Linked DNA regions of Arabidopsis thaliana. The protein of the gene in region 1 interacts with the protein of each later gene in a pairwise test. Each region holds a gene or a part of one and is shown on either strand. Other genes may lie near its edges.

Region 1 (4,127 bases):
TGTGCTAGCTCTTTATGCATGTGAGGGATTTGGCAAACAGCTTCAGCTCCCATGGTGGGGACTTTTACTCGCTTGTGCCATCGCCTTTACCTTCACTTTGCCTATTGGAGTTATCCTAGCGACCACAAACCAGCGAATGGGTCTTAATGTTATATCGGAACTGATCATCGGGTTCTTGTATCCGGGAAAGCCACTTGCCAATGTGGCTTTTAAGACTTATGGTTCTGTGAGTATAGCTCAAGCCTTGTACTTTGTCGGAGACTTCAAACTTGGCCACTACATGAAGATTCCTCCGAGATCTATGTTCATCGTTCAACTCGTTGCGACTATTGTTGCTTCAACTGTCTCCTTCGGGACCACATGGTGGTTGCTTTCTTCAGTCGAGAACATCTGTAACACAGATATGCTCCCAAAGAGTAGTCCGTGGACTTGCCCTGGGGATGTAGTGTTCTACAACGCGTCGATCATTTGGGGAATCATCGGTCCTGGAAGGATGTTCACAAGTAAAGGTATATACCCCGGGATGAACTGGTTCTTCCTCATTGGCTTCCTTGCTCCTGTCCCGGTCTGGTTCTTTGCAAGGAAATTCCCGGAGAAGAAGTGGATACATCAGATTCATATTCCCTTGATCTTCTCAGGGGCTAATGTGATGCCAATGGCCAAGGCTGTGCATTACTGGTCGTGGTTCGCTGTTGGGATCGTGTTCAACTACTATATCTTCAGGAGGTACAAGGGATGGTGGGCAAGGCATAACTACATCCTCTCTGCAGCTCTTGATGCAGGCACTGCGGTTATGGGAGTGTTGATCTACTTTGCGTTACAGAACAATAACATAAGCTTACCAGATTGGTGGGGGAATGAGAACACAGACCATTGCCCTTTGGCAAATTGCCCAACAGAGAAAGGGATCGTCGCTAAGGGCTGCCCGGTGTTCTAAAACCTTGTTGCAGTTTAACATTATCTCTGTAGTTTCTCATACCTGCAGGTGAGGGACAGTTACTGCAAAGTCGTTTGGTGGCCATAATAATAATAATGCGTAAAGACTTTGTGAGAGTTTAAGTGATAAAGTAAAAAATGGTTTGCAAATTAAGAACACCCAAAGATGATAGCTCTAACACAAATTTCAATCAAAGAGAGTATAATTTCAGGACAAAGCAAAACAAGGCTAAAAGTTTCCATCTTTTTCTAATTGAATAACACTAAGATCTGTGAACAACTTCCGTTCCTGTCAATTTCAAGCAATCAAGAACCAAATTTGTCACCTTCTATTGAACTCAGGAAAACTCCTAAATTGTGCAATTTAACGTACATGTCAAACGTAATCAGATCCTAAGATTCATAGTTAGGTTTTTCAAACCTTCGAAGTCATCATGAGAGAGATCTCCAGAGGAGGCAGGAGATGGAGGACAAGCTTGATGTACTCATTATGGGAGAGCTCAAACTTGAGCTAGTAGAGCTACGCCATTATTTCCCAAGCTCACCTTTGTTTGACTCGATCACAAAACTCAGTGAGTCAGACTCAGTTCAACGACCCTCTAATTTGGATACCCGTTTACGCGGCCCAACCCGGCCCAATACTGGATTTTGAATTTTTTTATGTTTAATGATTTTCTTATAAATATTTGGCTTTGCGTAGAGGGAGAGAGGGAGAGAGGGAGGAGAGATGGCGTTGTCTAACCAAAAAAAAAACGAGAATAGATAAAGCAGCAGCGGTTGCTGTCGGAGTTTTGCTTCGAAGACAAAAAACTAAGGTTGTTAGGTTTTATAGGCCAACGGTTTATGTTCTCCTACTTCTCTGCTTCTTCTGCATTCTTCAATCCTAAGCAAAAATCCATTTGTGGACGTCACTATCAAACGGCCAACTTCACCTTCTCTGACAATATCACTACACCTTCCTTTCTTCTTCATCTCTTCTATCTTCACTATTTTTTTACCAAAATCTTCTCCATCTGCTGGGTTCACACCAAAACCTACACTTTTTGGTATGTTGCTCTGTTTCGCAGAGTGAAGATAAGGTATTTGATGAAAATGCCTCACTGATATATCCATCCATGTCTTTTTTTTTACATGTACTTTAATTGCATATTTTAAAGACTTTTCATGGCTTTTTAGCTCAAGCTTTACTCTGTTTCTCTTTGCTCTTGTTCAGGAGATCAAATCAAAGACCTCTCTGTTTCCGATATGAGTACCCGTTATTCCTCTCAGTTGCAATCATCAGCCATTAACTCCATCACTGTCTCCTCATCTTCTTCCTTCGCTTCCACGCAACTGGATGATAACACTCACACGGCTCCGGAGAGCTCTCCATCTTCTTCCTTCTTCATGAGACTTGCCATGAGGGTATCTAGAGCAAGGTGGTTCATTTTCTTGAGAAGAGTCTTTCATTACCAGAACGCCTCAAGATCCGATCTTGGCACCAATCCTTTCAATTCTATCGCTTGGATGGTATCAGAGCTCATCGCTTTACTTTTACAGATCACTGTGATAACATCCACACTAGCTTTGTCCAAAAACGAGAGGCCTGTTTGGCCGATGAGGTTATGGATCACTGGCTACAACGTTGGATGTCTGCTCAATCTTATGTTACTATACGGTCGGTATCGTCAGCAAGATACTAGCCATGAAAATGCATTTAGCTTCGGCGATATTGAGCAGCAACAAAGAAGCAGGGAAGAGACCACCAGGTTACTAACAAAAATCTAGTTTTTTCAAGTTTGATCATAAAATGCAAAGATTTCTAGGAAAATGACTTATTTTTGTGTGTGTTTTAGGTGCTCGCATTTGATGAACAAATGCCGGACATCGCTGGAGCTATTCTTTGCGATATGGTTTGTGATAGGTAATGTATGGGTTTTTGATTCTCGGTTTGGTTCTTTCCACTATGCTCCAATCCTTCATGTCCTCTGCATCTCCCTACTCGCTTGGAACGCTCTCTGTTACTCCTTCCCATTTCTTCTCTTCCTCCTGCTCTGTTGTGTTGTACCTCTCGTTAGTAGCTTCCTCGGCTACAACATGAACGTTGGATCTTCGGAAAAAGGAGCTTCAGATGACCAGATCTCCAGTCTCCCAAGTTGGAAATACAAACTCATTGATGAAACTTCTGATTCTTCTCAAGCAAACAATGATCCGGTAAGCACTAATTTGAATTCTGAAATAGGTCAAATAGTCAGAAATCAATCTTGATATCAAAACTGAAACCCACCGGTTTCATTATTGCAGGAATGTTGTATATGTTTGGCAAAGTACAAAGAGAAAGAAGAAGTGAGAAAGCTTCCATGTTCGCATAGGTTTCACCTCAAATGCGTAGATCAATGGCTTCGTATCATCTCGTGTTGTCCTCTTTGCAAACAAGATCTCCCTAACTGAAAAATCAAAACAATACATGAGTCACAAGATTGAATCTCTGACCAAGTACCATATATGTGTTTTTTTTTTTTTCTGTTGCCGCCTAAACACGTTTACTTGTGTGAATGTCGTTATCATTCCTTTTTTTTTCTTGTGTACAAAGTAGCTCACCAGTAACTGTAATTTTACCTAAAAAAAAAGTTAAAAAACATGATCAATCTGTTGTTTTACCAGTAGAGTTTGTCCCTCTCTTACCATTAATCAAAGTTTTAATTGTTGGTTAATGTAACTAAGCTTATACTGGTTTTTGCTATAATATTTTTTCCAAAGACAATTTAAACCGAATTCAAACCCAGAGACCAAATCAGACCAAAGCAACAGTCAGAATCCGAATAACATGACACGCCGTCGTATAGGAACGATTATTGAAACGATGGTGTTTAAGACAGCGCATAAATGGACACATGCTCCACTAGACGACGACGTGTGAAAGTGAATGTAACAAGGAGTTTTATTACAACTGTATCAACATCGAGTAAAAATAAACAAAATTATTTATTTTTTAAATTTAAAAAGTATAAAAACGCCAACAAACAAAAATAATTTGGTCTTTTTCTTAGCATATTTAAAATTTTGCAATATATTCATTCTGCTTATAGAAAATCGTGTCGACCTTTTTTCTCTCACTTACCCAATAAGAGCTTTTTTCGCGTTTTCCACCGCAACCACCGTCACCTTCAACCGCCGGAGCCGCCGCAAGGAAGGCTCATCATCCGCCGTGG
Region 2 (3,539 bases), on another chromosome or scaffold:
TGTCATATATACCTTGTATTTGATTTTGTCTCTAGAGTTGACTAGTTTCTTACAATCACTGAATTTTCCTCTATTGTTTATCCACATGATGTATTTTTTTTGCGATACCATGTAGATTTTGGCTATTGCTACTTCCGGAGAGCTCTCTCTTTGTTTGTGAATTTGCTTCATCCTTCTGGTGAAGGTATACTTTTCATATCCTCTGCTTCTTCCTAATGCTGACCTAACTAAACCACTCCTTTTTCTCCACAGCTCATTTACAAGCATCCTGCCAAATGTTGGTTCTCTCAAATTCTGATTCCAAACCTGTACGCGTTCGCTGATTCAACTGTCATTTCGTTTCATAAGCCTATGACCTACCTTTAAGCGTTCGCGTTCGCCAGATGACTCGAATCTCCCGGAATATGAACCCGTGCAAATCCTCTGACCAGCGACTAGCGGAACAGTTTGGAATCACACAAACTATTTCTACTTCGACTCAAGAAAATAAGAAGGAGCAAAGCATCAAAGACTAGCATTGGTTTTTGCACACAAGCTTAACACAGAGTGTAAATGGATGGTGTGATATTTATGTACCATTTTCATAAAAACTGAGACTTTTGTGATTCATAAGACTTTTTCATCTAAAACTCTCTGATGATAGATAATCTACACAATTCAGTGAAATTGCCAGATTACAGCCATAGCCATTGATTCAAAAGCAAATTCCTTTGGCAAAAACAGATAATTATAAGAATCAACCCAGAATATTCAATTCATAATTAAGATTCCGATCCACAAATATCTCATACAAACAATTCTGAGAGAGAGAGAGAGAGAGAGAGAGAGAGAGATTCAGAATCAGACCTATTTCTTAGAGAATTTCTTCTTCGAAGCAACACTGACAACTTCTGGTTTGGGATGCTTCTCGGCTTCGCTCGGATCTAACCATTTGAGAGGATGAAGATTGTAGAAAGGCCAATTAGGTACAGTAACCAAAGTCGTGAGAACAACACCACCGGCATAGATCAGCATCATCGTCCTGAACGATTCCGTTGTGTAGCCAACAACCACCGCTACAACGCCGGAGATCACCAGTAAGATCTGCATCAGCTGCTCCACCAGTTTCTGTCCTTGCCAATCCATTTTCTTCTACACAACGAAATCAAAAACCATTAGCGATTTGAATCCAAAGTTAAACAAAAGAGAGAATCTGAGAACCCTAATTGCACAAACCTTTAGCGATCTGATCTCTCACTGAATCTGTAAACCTGATTTTCAACAATGGGGAAGAAAAGAAAGGACTCTTGACATTTATGAGCTAAGACCACAAAATCGGTTTAAAAGTAAACCGGATAAAGTGGACGGTCAGATTACTCTATAACCGGGTGAACCGGCGGTTTTTAATGTGCCTTAATTATTTCGAGATTTTGTATATGTGCAAATTCTGAAACCTTGAAACAAGGAATATTTACATTTAAGTTTCTTTGTGTGTACCTCAGAATTAGAATGTTGCTACTTGTCCAGTCCATAATTTGTTTATTGGGACAACAACTTCAGTGATTAGATAATGTTTACTATTTTATAGACTGGTGTGACCAGATTGTAGCTTTAGCAGTGACCAGTATTCATAAACCAAAATCAAAGTTTTGGAGAACCAAGATCCATGGCATGTAGCTAAAAAGATTTGCATCAATTTAGAAGTCATAATTAAGATTTCTTCTCTTTACTAATGATAATTCAAGATACAAGCAATACATCAATAGGCCTTCTATTAACAACTCTACAATTAAACCTAATCTCACCAGGTCTCCCAGATTGCAAATCACCCAACTTCACCATGCCTTCTGCAAAAGCCCTAAAGAACTCATCTTGATCCTCACTAAACATCTTCACATACTCTCTCGTCACTAGATTCGTGTACAAAGTCTGATCAGAGTTAAGAAACCCTCTCCCTGAAACCAAGTCTTTGAAATACTGATTATCAAAAACCTGAGGTGTTGCATCTAGATCTCCAGTCACATTCTCATCTCCACCCAAAGGACAAAGCTTATCAAGCTTCTTACGGTAACTCGGTTCAAGAGCTGGATCCGGTTTACCAGAACCGGATTGGTTATAAAGTCTGAACATGATTGAAAAACACCGACCTTGACCTATTGAGTGTGACCCTGATAAAGCAACCATGTCTTTTACAGAAAGATTGAATCTTTCGAAGAGATCAATCAAGAAAGTTGCGTTGGCTCTTGGACTTGGCATTATATCGTCGGAATCTTGCTGACTCGCTGTTAAACTGTCTTTCCTCCCTAGCTTCACTTCCCAATCTGGTCCTCCTGTCTGGTTTTTTCAAAGACCAAAATTACAAAACCGAGATTTCACTAAACCGGGGAAATTGAATTTTGACTTACAAGAGCAACGGCGTCACGAGCGGCCATGATAACGATATCGGCACAAGAAACAGTAGCTGGACAAGCTTTCTCTAGAGCTTCTTTAATGTCGTCAACGACTTCGAAAGATCTTAGTGAATCGATGTTGGAAAGTGATAGTTTTTCACCAAGCATGTTTGGTGTGTCGTCAAGCAACAGAGATGCGTCACATCCCTGAATTTGATGATTCAAAGAAAAATTCAGAGAGGAAAACAGAGTAAAGATCAAGAACAGAGAGAAAGATTTATAGTGTTTACATTGACGAAACAGTCGTGAAATTGGAAACGCATGACGGAAGCGACGCTTCTTGCTTCTTTGATCATTGCTTTCTTCATTTCTCTTCTTACTATGGATTCAGCTTCAGGGCATGTCTCGCTGTAGAATCTTGGTCGGAGAGTTTCTCCAGTAACAACCACCGTCAAAAGTGTTAGGTAGAGGATGAGATGGGGAAGAAGAGACATACTTTTTTCTTTTTTGGTGTTGTGTTTCAGTGATTGAAGAAGAAGTAGAGACTTTGTTTGTTGGGTTATAAAGAGGTTTTTGGTGGTTTTCGAGAATGATACTAAAGGCTTTTGTGTTTATAGATGGAATTTGTGCAAGTGTGGTCTCTGGTGGTGGTGGGCATTCCAATTTCTATAATTTATTTCTTTAATAAATAGAAATAAATAAATAAATAAATAAAGAAATAAATTTTCTAATTATAGAATTGGTGCCAATGGGGGATTAGTGTAGTAATTTGGTAAAATTATGGGTTTGTGAAATTATTGAATGATGAATCTGAAGTAATGTTAAATGTTTGTTAAGTTTGGATTATTGCAGTGTATATTAGCTGGCAAAAATAAAGAAGATAAAAGGATAATTGATCAAATTTTTTTTATAAAGGTGTGAAACTTTTGTACGTAATTGTTAAAATTGGTAAAACATCCATTATACAGTATTTAGATGAACAGTACTACTCTCTTTGTTTATTATTGTATTTTGTAGGAAATTTTTTTGATTCGAAAAGATAGTCATTTTTAAAATTTCTATGCAATATTTATTACTAGTTATTATTGATGTGTAAACTTCAAGAAGAATAATATATTTCTAATCAACTTTTAATATGTTTTTTAAGATGTGTGAAAATCCTAAAAATAC
Region 3 (5,290 bases), on another chromosome or scaffold:
AAACCAGTTGTGAGTCATGGAGTTGCTTTAGGCGGTGCTGCTGCTTTGTCTCTTCAGAAAAGCATGTACCCACTTACCTCTCTCTTAACGGCTCCATTGCTCACCAACTACAATACATTGGATCCTCTTGCAGACCCTATTCTCTGGACACCATTTCTTCCTTCAGGATCCTCTCTTACTTCAGAGGTTCGTAGTCATATATCTATAGAACCAGAGACTTCAGAGGTTACTACAACACATCTTCCTTATGTCATTTTCTTTGGCTCTCTTTCTTCTGCAGGTGACAAAGACAGAGACCAGCTGTTCCACGTACAGCTACCTCCCACAAGAGAAATGAGCCGTTCCCTTTAGACTTTATGTATGTCAGATTCTCCTTTTTTGAGATGAATTCGTCGACTTGACATCTCTTTGTCTCTTTTATGGAGAAAAAGTTGGGAAAAGTGTGACAATGGTCTGAAGCAGGAATGTACAGGTTTTGTTAGTGGTTGTGTTTTTTTTTTTCCAGTGTGGAATATAGAATCATGATATTTTGTGTAAAACAGAAAAAAGTTATCATTATAGTATAGAAGTTTGCTCTTAATATTTCTGCACAAGGTATAATATAATTTGATTGTGACCGATCTAATTATTCATCTCTACCAAATGTTACGACTATGTATTATCACATCATCTGCACAAGACTTATCTAGCTTTGATACAACTAACTGAATCCTATTACCCAGACAGGGACTGAGTATATAATAGTTCCAATCGCAAAAGAAACCACAATGGTAAAAGATGCATACGCATAGGCTCTCCATGGGTAATCACTTTCTCTCATCGCATTGAACTCAGCCATGAAGGTCGAAACTGTGCTCAGACATCCCAACAGACCAAACTGTATGCTCGAAGCAACCGTGTTACATGTTCTCGTGTTCACCTGTTTCCCAAAATATATACAATGAATGTTATCTTTTGTGATTTGATCTGTTTGGTAGAGAGAGGAGGTGAGGAAGTTTATACCGATTTCTTCAAGGTAGCCAATGCTGCCATAACGCAAGCTGCAACTACATTTGCAATGAGGGTGCCAAATGGGACCCATCTCAAATTTTGACTATCCTTTCCCAGCCCACGTCCATTGAGTCGGGCTAAGAACCATCTGAGCCAGACACCAGGGGCTGCAACTAAGCAACCAAACCATAGCTGAGCCTCGCTTGTTCCTTTGTCAAACTCTTTCACAAGCAGTATGGAACTGGCAGTGAGTAAAGCCACAAGCAACAGAAGCATCAGGGTCAGAGACACAATATGGCTCTGGAAGGTGTTAACCTTAAGACAATGGAATTTATCCTCAGAAGAAGCTCTTCTATGAAGAAGCCATTTAAACCCTTTGGCCGTTTCCACTCCCAGAATTATGGAGTATGACGTGAGAAACAATCCTGTAAAGTCGTTTATGCTGTAAGCAAGTATGTTTCATCCAATTTAGTAGGTGATTGGAGATTGAGAAGGGAATTTTTTGTTTTTACCTAATAAAAAGCCAAGCACAGCATACACCCATTGACCATCAGCACTAAGATCCAGCATTTTCTGGTTCCAACCGCTGAATGTTGTCAGACTCCCCAAATAACCAGTCGATAATCCTATCGCCACAAATTCAGAAACTCTTGCTATATCTGCTTTGAATACAACGCCAAACCAACCCATCAAGAATGATCCTACCTATAAGGAAGCATTTGGAGAATTTTTATTAAGAAAGATAGGTTTGTAATTAAGTTTGAGATGAGTGCATTGCGACTTTCACCATGTTGGAGGGAAGATCAAGGTACAAGATGCTCCCATCACTTGTTACTCGAGCACCAGTTGGCCCAAACAATTTTTGCAGCAAATATCTCGTAATGGCCTGTATATTTGGAGTCAACGAGTTGATTATAATGATTTAAACAAAAACAAAGCACAACAGAGAGACAGACAGAAAATGGAAAATAAGCATTTTACCCCAAAAATCCCAAAAACAGCCAAATGAATTAGGCATGATATGTACTCCAAGGACTTTGGTAACACTCGCTCTTCCTCCTTTCCCTGTGCAACCCACGAGCTACAATAGATCAAAACATTGGACAAAGAAACCAATACTAACAATGATGTGACTATGCAAAGTTAGAGGTAGTCTCTACGGAGTTGTTTATTTCAGGTGACAAGAGTGACTTGGTCGGTAAAGGAGATGCTGTTATGTCCTCAGGCAAAGTTTTATTTACGGAAGCAGTGTTGAAAGCTCGAAGGTCATGTAATATATCTTGTTCTTGACGAGAAGTATCATGAGTCCCTTGTTCTATAAAATCATCAGCAGACAAACGGCTGCTTCTACCAGCACTATGCCTTCTCCGAAGTGAGCGGTCCCCAATATCCCCTGCCTCTGAGACACTCTCACTATCGACGTCATTGTCAATTAGGTGAGGCAAACTACGTGATAAGCTTAAAGAAGAGGCTACACTGCTCTCCCGACTAAAAGACTTGGCTTGATAAGGTTCTATGCTGCTTTGACCCGTATCCATAGGCGTTGTAGCCAAAGCATAAGATTCTTAAATGATGCTCCACCTGCACATATTTTAAGCCACAGCCACACACACAAGAAAGAAGACATGAAGGAATGTGCAAAAAGAGACAAGAGATAATCGAACAATGTGGCAAGTAAACATTCGAGAAATTCCTAATGCTTATTAAAGACACTGTTTGAAAAGTTTAGCTGTAATCTTCAAAACCATAGCTTTTTGATACTAAGACAACAAATTCAAAAAAGTTCACATATTCATGATAGATTATGACTTTAGTTTATTACTTTCTACAGAAGCAGAATAAGAATGACCTGGTGAAGGGATCCAAAAACAGTTTTCAAGATTTTGTCCTCCACTATCCCTTAAAACAAAAGATAAAAATTTACTTGCGTTTTAGTTAGTGGAAATCGAAAAAAAGGTAGACTAAAATAATCACTTGTTCACCAATAGAGAAAAAAACGAAAATCTTAAAAAGTTGTACAGGTGGCAAAGACGAATGAATACTTTTCTTAGATTGGGACCTGTTTTGGGTTTGGATTTTGAGCTAGACATTTAAAATTCAGCAGCTTTACCTAATGGCGAATTCAATCTTAATCGTGAAGAATCAAATTTGATCCCAAAAGTCGCCGGCGGAGAAATCGAGCTAACAGGAGACAATCGAAAACCATCAATTTATTCTCTGGTTTATTGGATGTTAAGGGAAGTAGGTTCGATTGTAGAAGATGGACGAACAACAAAGCAGAAGACGATTGTAACTTTGTTTAGTCGAACACACATGTACAGACAAGTAGAGTTGGTTTAGTCGGGAAAATCGCACCCTAAAAAAAACAAAAACAATACATAAGTTTTAAAATATTTCTAAATTATGGGCCACAAAGAGCTGGCCCAGTAGCCCCGCTTCTCATAACAGATTTTTTTTGTCTCTGGCGGATAACAAAAATATCCTTGGAAACGACAGCCCAAACAAAATCATCTTTAACATATATTTAGATGTTACTTGAAATTTGATCATATATTTTGAAAAAATCCAGATAAATTATTAAAAGTTAATGGTATTAAAAAAAAAGTTTCATTGTTTTTAGTTGAAGAAAATAGTGTCATTTTGATTCTACATTTGATATAATTTTACTAAAAATTGTTTTTTTTCTGTGTTAAAAAAAAACAGCATTTTTGAGGATTGAATATGAAGGTGGATTTCTTTAAAGTTGTGTCACAACTGATAAAAATAAAAATAAGAATCAAGTTGGGGAGTGGCAATGAAAGGAATAATTCTAATGGCGGCTTTTATTGGCAACCTTCGGAAAAATAATAAAAACATTCGTATACTTTGCCGTCAAACTTAGGAACGTCGTCGTTTTCGTCGTAATATAATTGGCGTAACGCAACTCTAAAACGAATCAGGATGTTCCACGTACACTACACTAGGCTTTTAATGTGGAGCCCGTGAGAGAGCCACCCCTACTTGGCATTGACGCAAAGATTTATATTTGGGTCAACATCAGCAACTGTACTTAAGTACTTATATATATTAATTATAAGATTATCTTCTTCTTTTTTTTTGGTTTAATATAAGATTACCTTCTTAATATCACGACAACTAATCTAATCTTCTCCTTATTTTTTGGGTTTTTTGATAGAAGAAGAAAGGTCCCGTAAATAAATGAAACAGTTTCGGAATTCTTCTATTTTTGTCGACCACTTGTGTTATCCGCAGCTAGTTGCAAAATTCTTTTGTTTGATTGTATAATCAAATTGATTAATGAATCAAATAAATTGGCAGGAAAAAAAAAAAAAAAAAAAAGGAAGCACAAATGTCAGTGAGGTGAGCCCAAGTCTTCGCCACCTCTCTCTGCTTTCTTAGTTTGCTACTTTGCTTTGCCTTTTCCCAAAGAAGAACCATAAAAGTATGATTTCTTATTGAAGCCAAGACTAGAATCTATCGTCTAGGGTTCTTTCTGGGTTCCAAGGAAAAATGGGTTCATCGAAGAGGCAATTCAAGGCCATGCTCCGCAAGAATTGGCTCCTCAAAACTCGTCATCCCTTCGTTACTTCAGCTGAGGTTTCTCTCTTTTTCTTTGCTCCTCAAAACTATGTCGTTTTCATGCTTATTCACTGCTCGTCTTAATGGGTCTTCTTCTCCTTGATGCTGAATGCAATTTTTGTTTTTAAAATTTCGAATTGTTGATCAAATTTTGCTTCTTTCTCTTATTCATTGGCAGATTTTGCTTCCGACTATTGTAATGTTGCTGTTGATAGCCGTCAGGACACGGGTTGACACCACAATTCACCCGGCTCACTCGTAAGATATCAGTTTTTTACACTCGTCACTAGCCTCTCTCTCTCTCGTACTAAAATTGGATTTTGATTTCGTTTTCTGCATTTTGTTCTGTTGATCATGAAAGGAACATAGACAAAGATACAGTCGTCGAAGTGGGCAAAGGCAACTCTCCTAGTTTTCCAGAAGTTTTGAAGCTTTTGCTTGCTGAGGGGGATTTTTTAGCTTTTGCACCTGACACTGATGAAACTAATAACATGATCGACATTTTGTCTCTTAAGTTTCCGGAACTGCGGGTAATCATCATCACGTCTTCATCTTATGCTGCATTCTAGATCGATAGTTACTCTTCATATGTCACACGTTTAATCGACCCTGTGTCTTCTGTTTGCAGCTAGTTACTAAAATTTTTAAAGATGACATAGAGCTGGAAACTTATATAACATCTGCGCATTATGGTGTCTGTAGCGAAGTGAGGTATGTTTTG

What was found. Proteins that work in one complex are often made in the same cells at the same time.
Region 2: the proteins of AT4G26580 (region 1) and AT2G22425 interact in a protein complementation assay, tested with the Arabidopsis thaliana proteins (one large-scale study listed by BioGRID).
Region 3: the proteins of AT4G26580 (region 1) and AT2G41705 interact in a protein complementation assay, tested with the Arabidopsis thaliana proteins (one large-scale study listed by BioGRID).

Annotation. Positions count from the first base shown.
Region 1 is NC_003075.7:13,410,944-13,415,070, reverse strand, and holds AT4G26580 (RING/U-box superfamily protein), read left to right. Parts: upstream 1-1,627; 5' UTR 1,628-2,015; intron 2,016-2,041; exon of another isoform or gene 2,042-2,149; 5' UTR 2,150-2,181; coding exon 2,182-2,684; intron 2,685-2,771; coding exon 2,772-3,129; intron 3,130-3,219; coding exon 3,220-3,366; 3' UTR 3,367-3,624; downstream 3,625-4,127. Other genes in the region: OPT5 (oligopeptide transporter 5), read left to right, coding at 1-937.
Region 2 is NC_003071.7:9,512,665-9,516,203, reverse strand, and holds AT2G22425 (Microsomal signal peptidase 12 kDa subunit (SPC12)), read right to left. Parts: upstream 1,510-3,539; 5' UTR 1,216-1,509; intron 1,132-1,215; 5' UTR 1,126-1,131; coding exon 847-1,125; 3' UTR 530-846; downstream 1-529. Other genes in the region: AT2G22420 (Peroxidase superfamily protein), read right to left, coding at 1,720-2,313, 2,385-2,576, 2,660-2,863. UniProt on the Arabidopsis thaliana protein: Component of the signal peptidase complex (SPC) which catalyzes the cleavage of N-terminal signal sequences from nascent proteins as they are translocated into the lumen of the endoplasmic reticulum. Dispensable for SPC enzymatic activity.
Region 3 is NC_003071.7:17,395,321-17,400,610, reverse strand, and holds AT2G41705 (camphor resistance CrcB family protein), read right to left. Parts: upstream 3,342-5,290; 5' UTR 3,101-3,341; exon of another isoform or gene 2,572-3,100; 5' UTR 2,529-2,571; coding exon 2,151-2,528; intron 2,056-2,150; coding exon 1,972-2,055; intron 1,877-1,971; coding exon 1,778-1,876; intron 1,696-1,777; coding exon 1,503-1,695; intron 1,416-1,502; coding exon 1,003-1,415; intron 920-1,002; coding exon 701-919; 3' UTR 530-700; downstream 1-529. Other genes in the region: AT2G41710 (Integrase-type DNA-binding superfamily protein), read left to right, coding at 1-351; ABCA1 (ATP-binding cassette A1), read left to right, coding at 4,501-4,587, 4,748-4,827, 4,931-5,099, 5,198-5,280.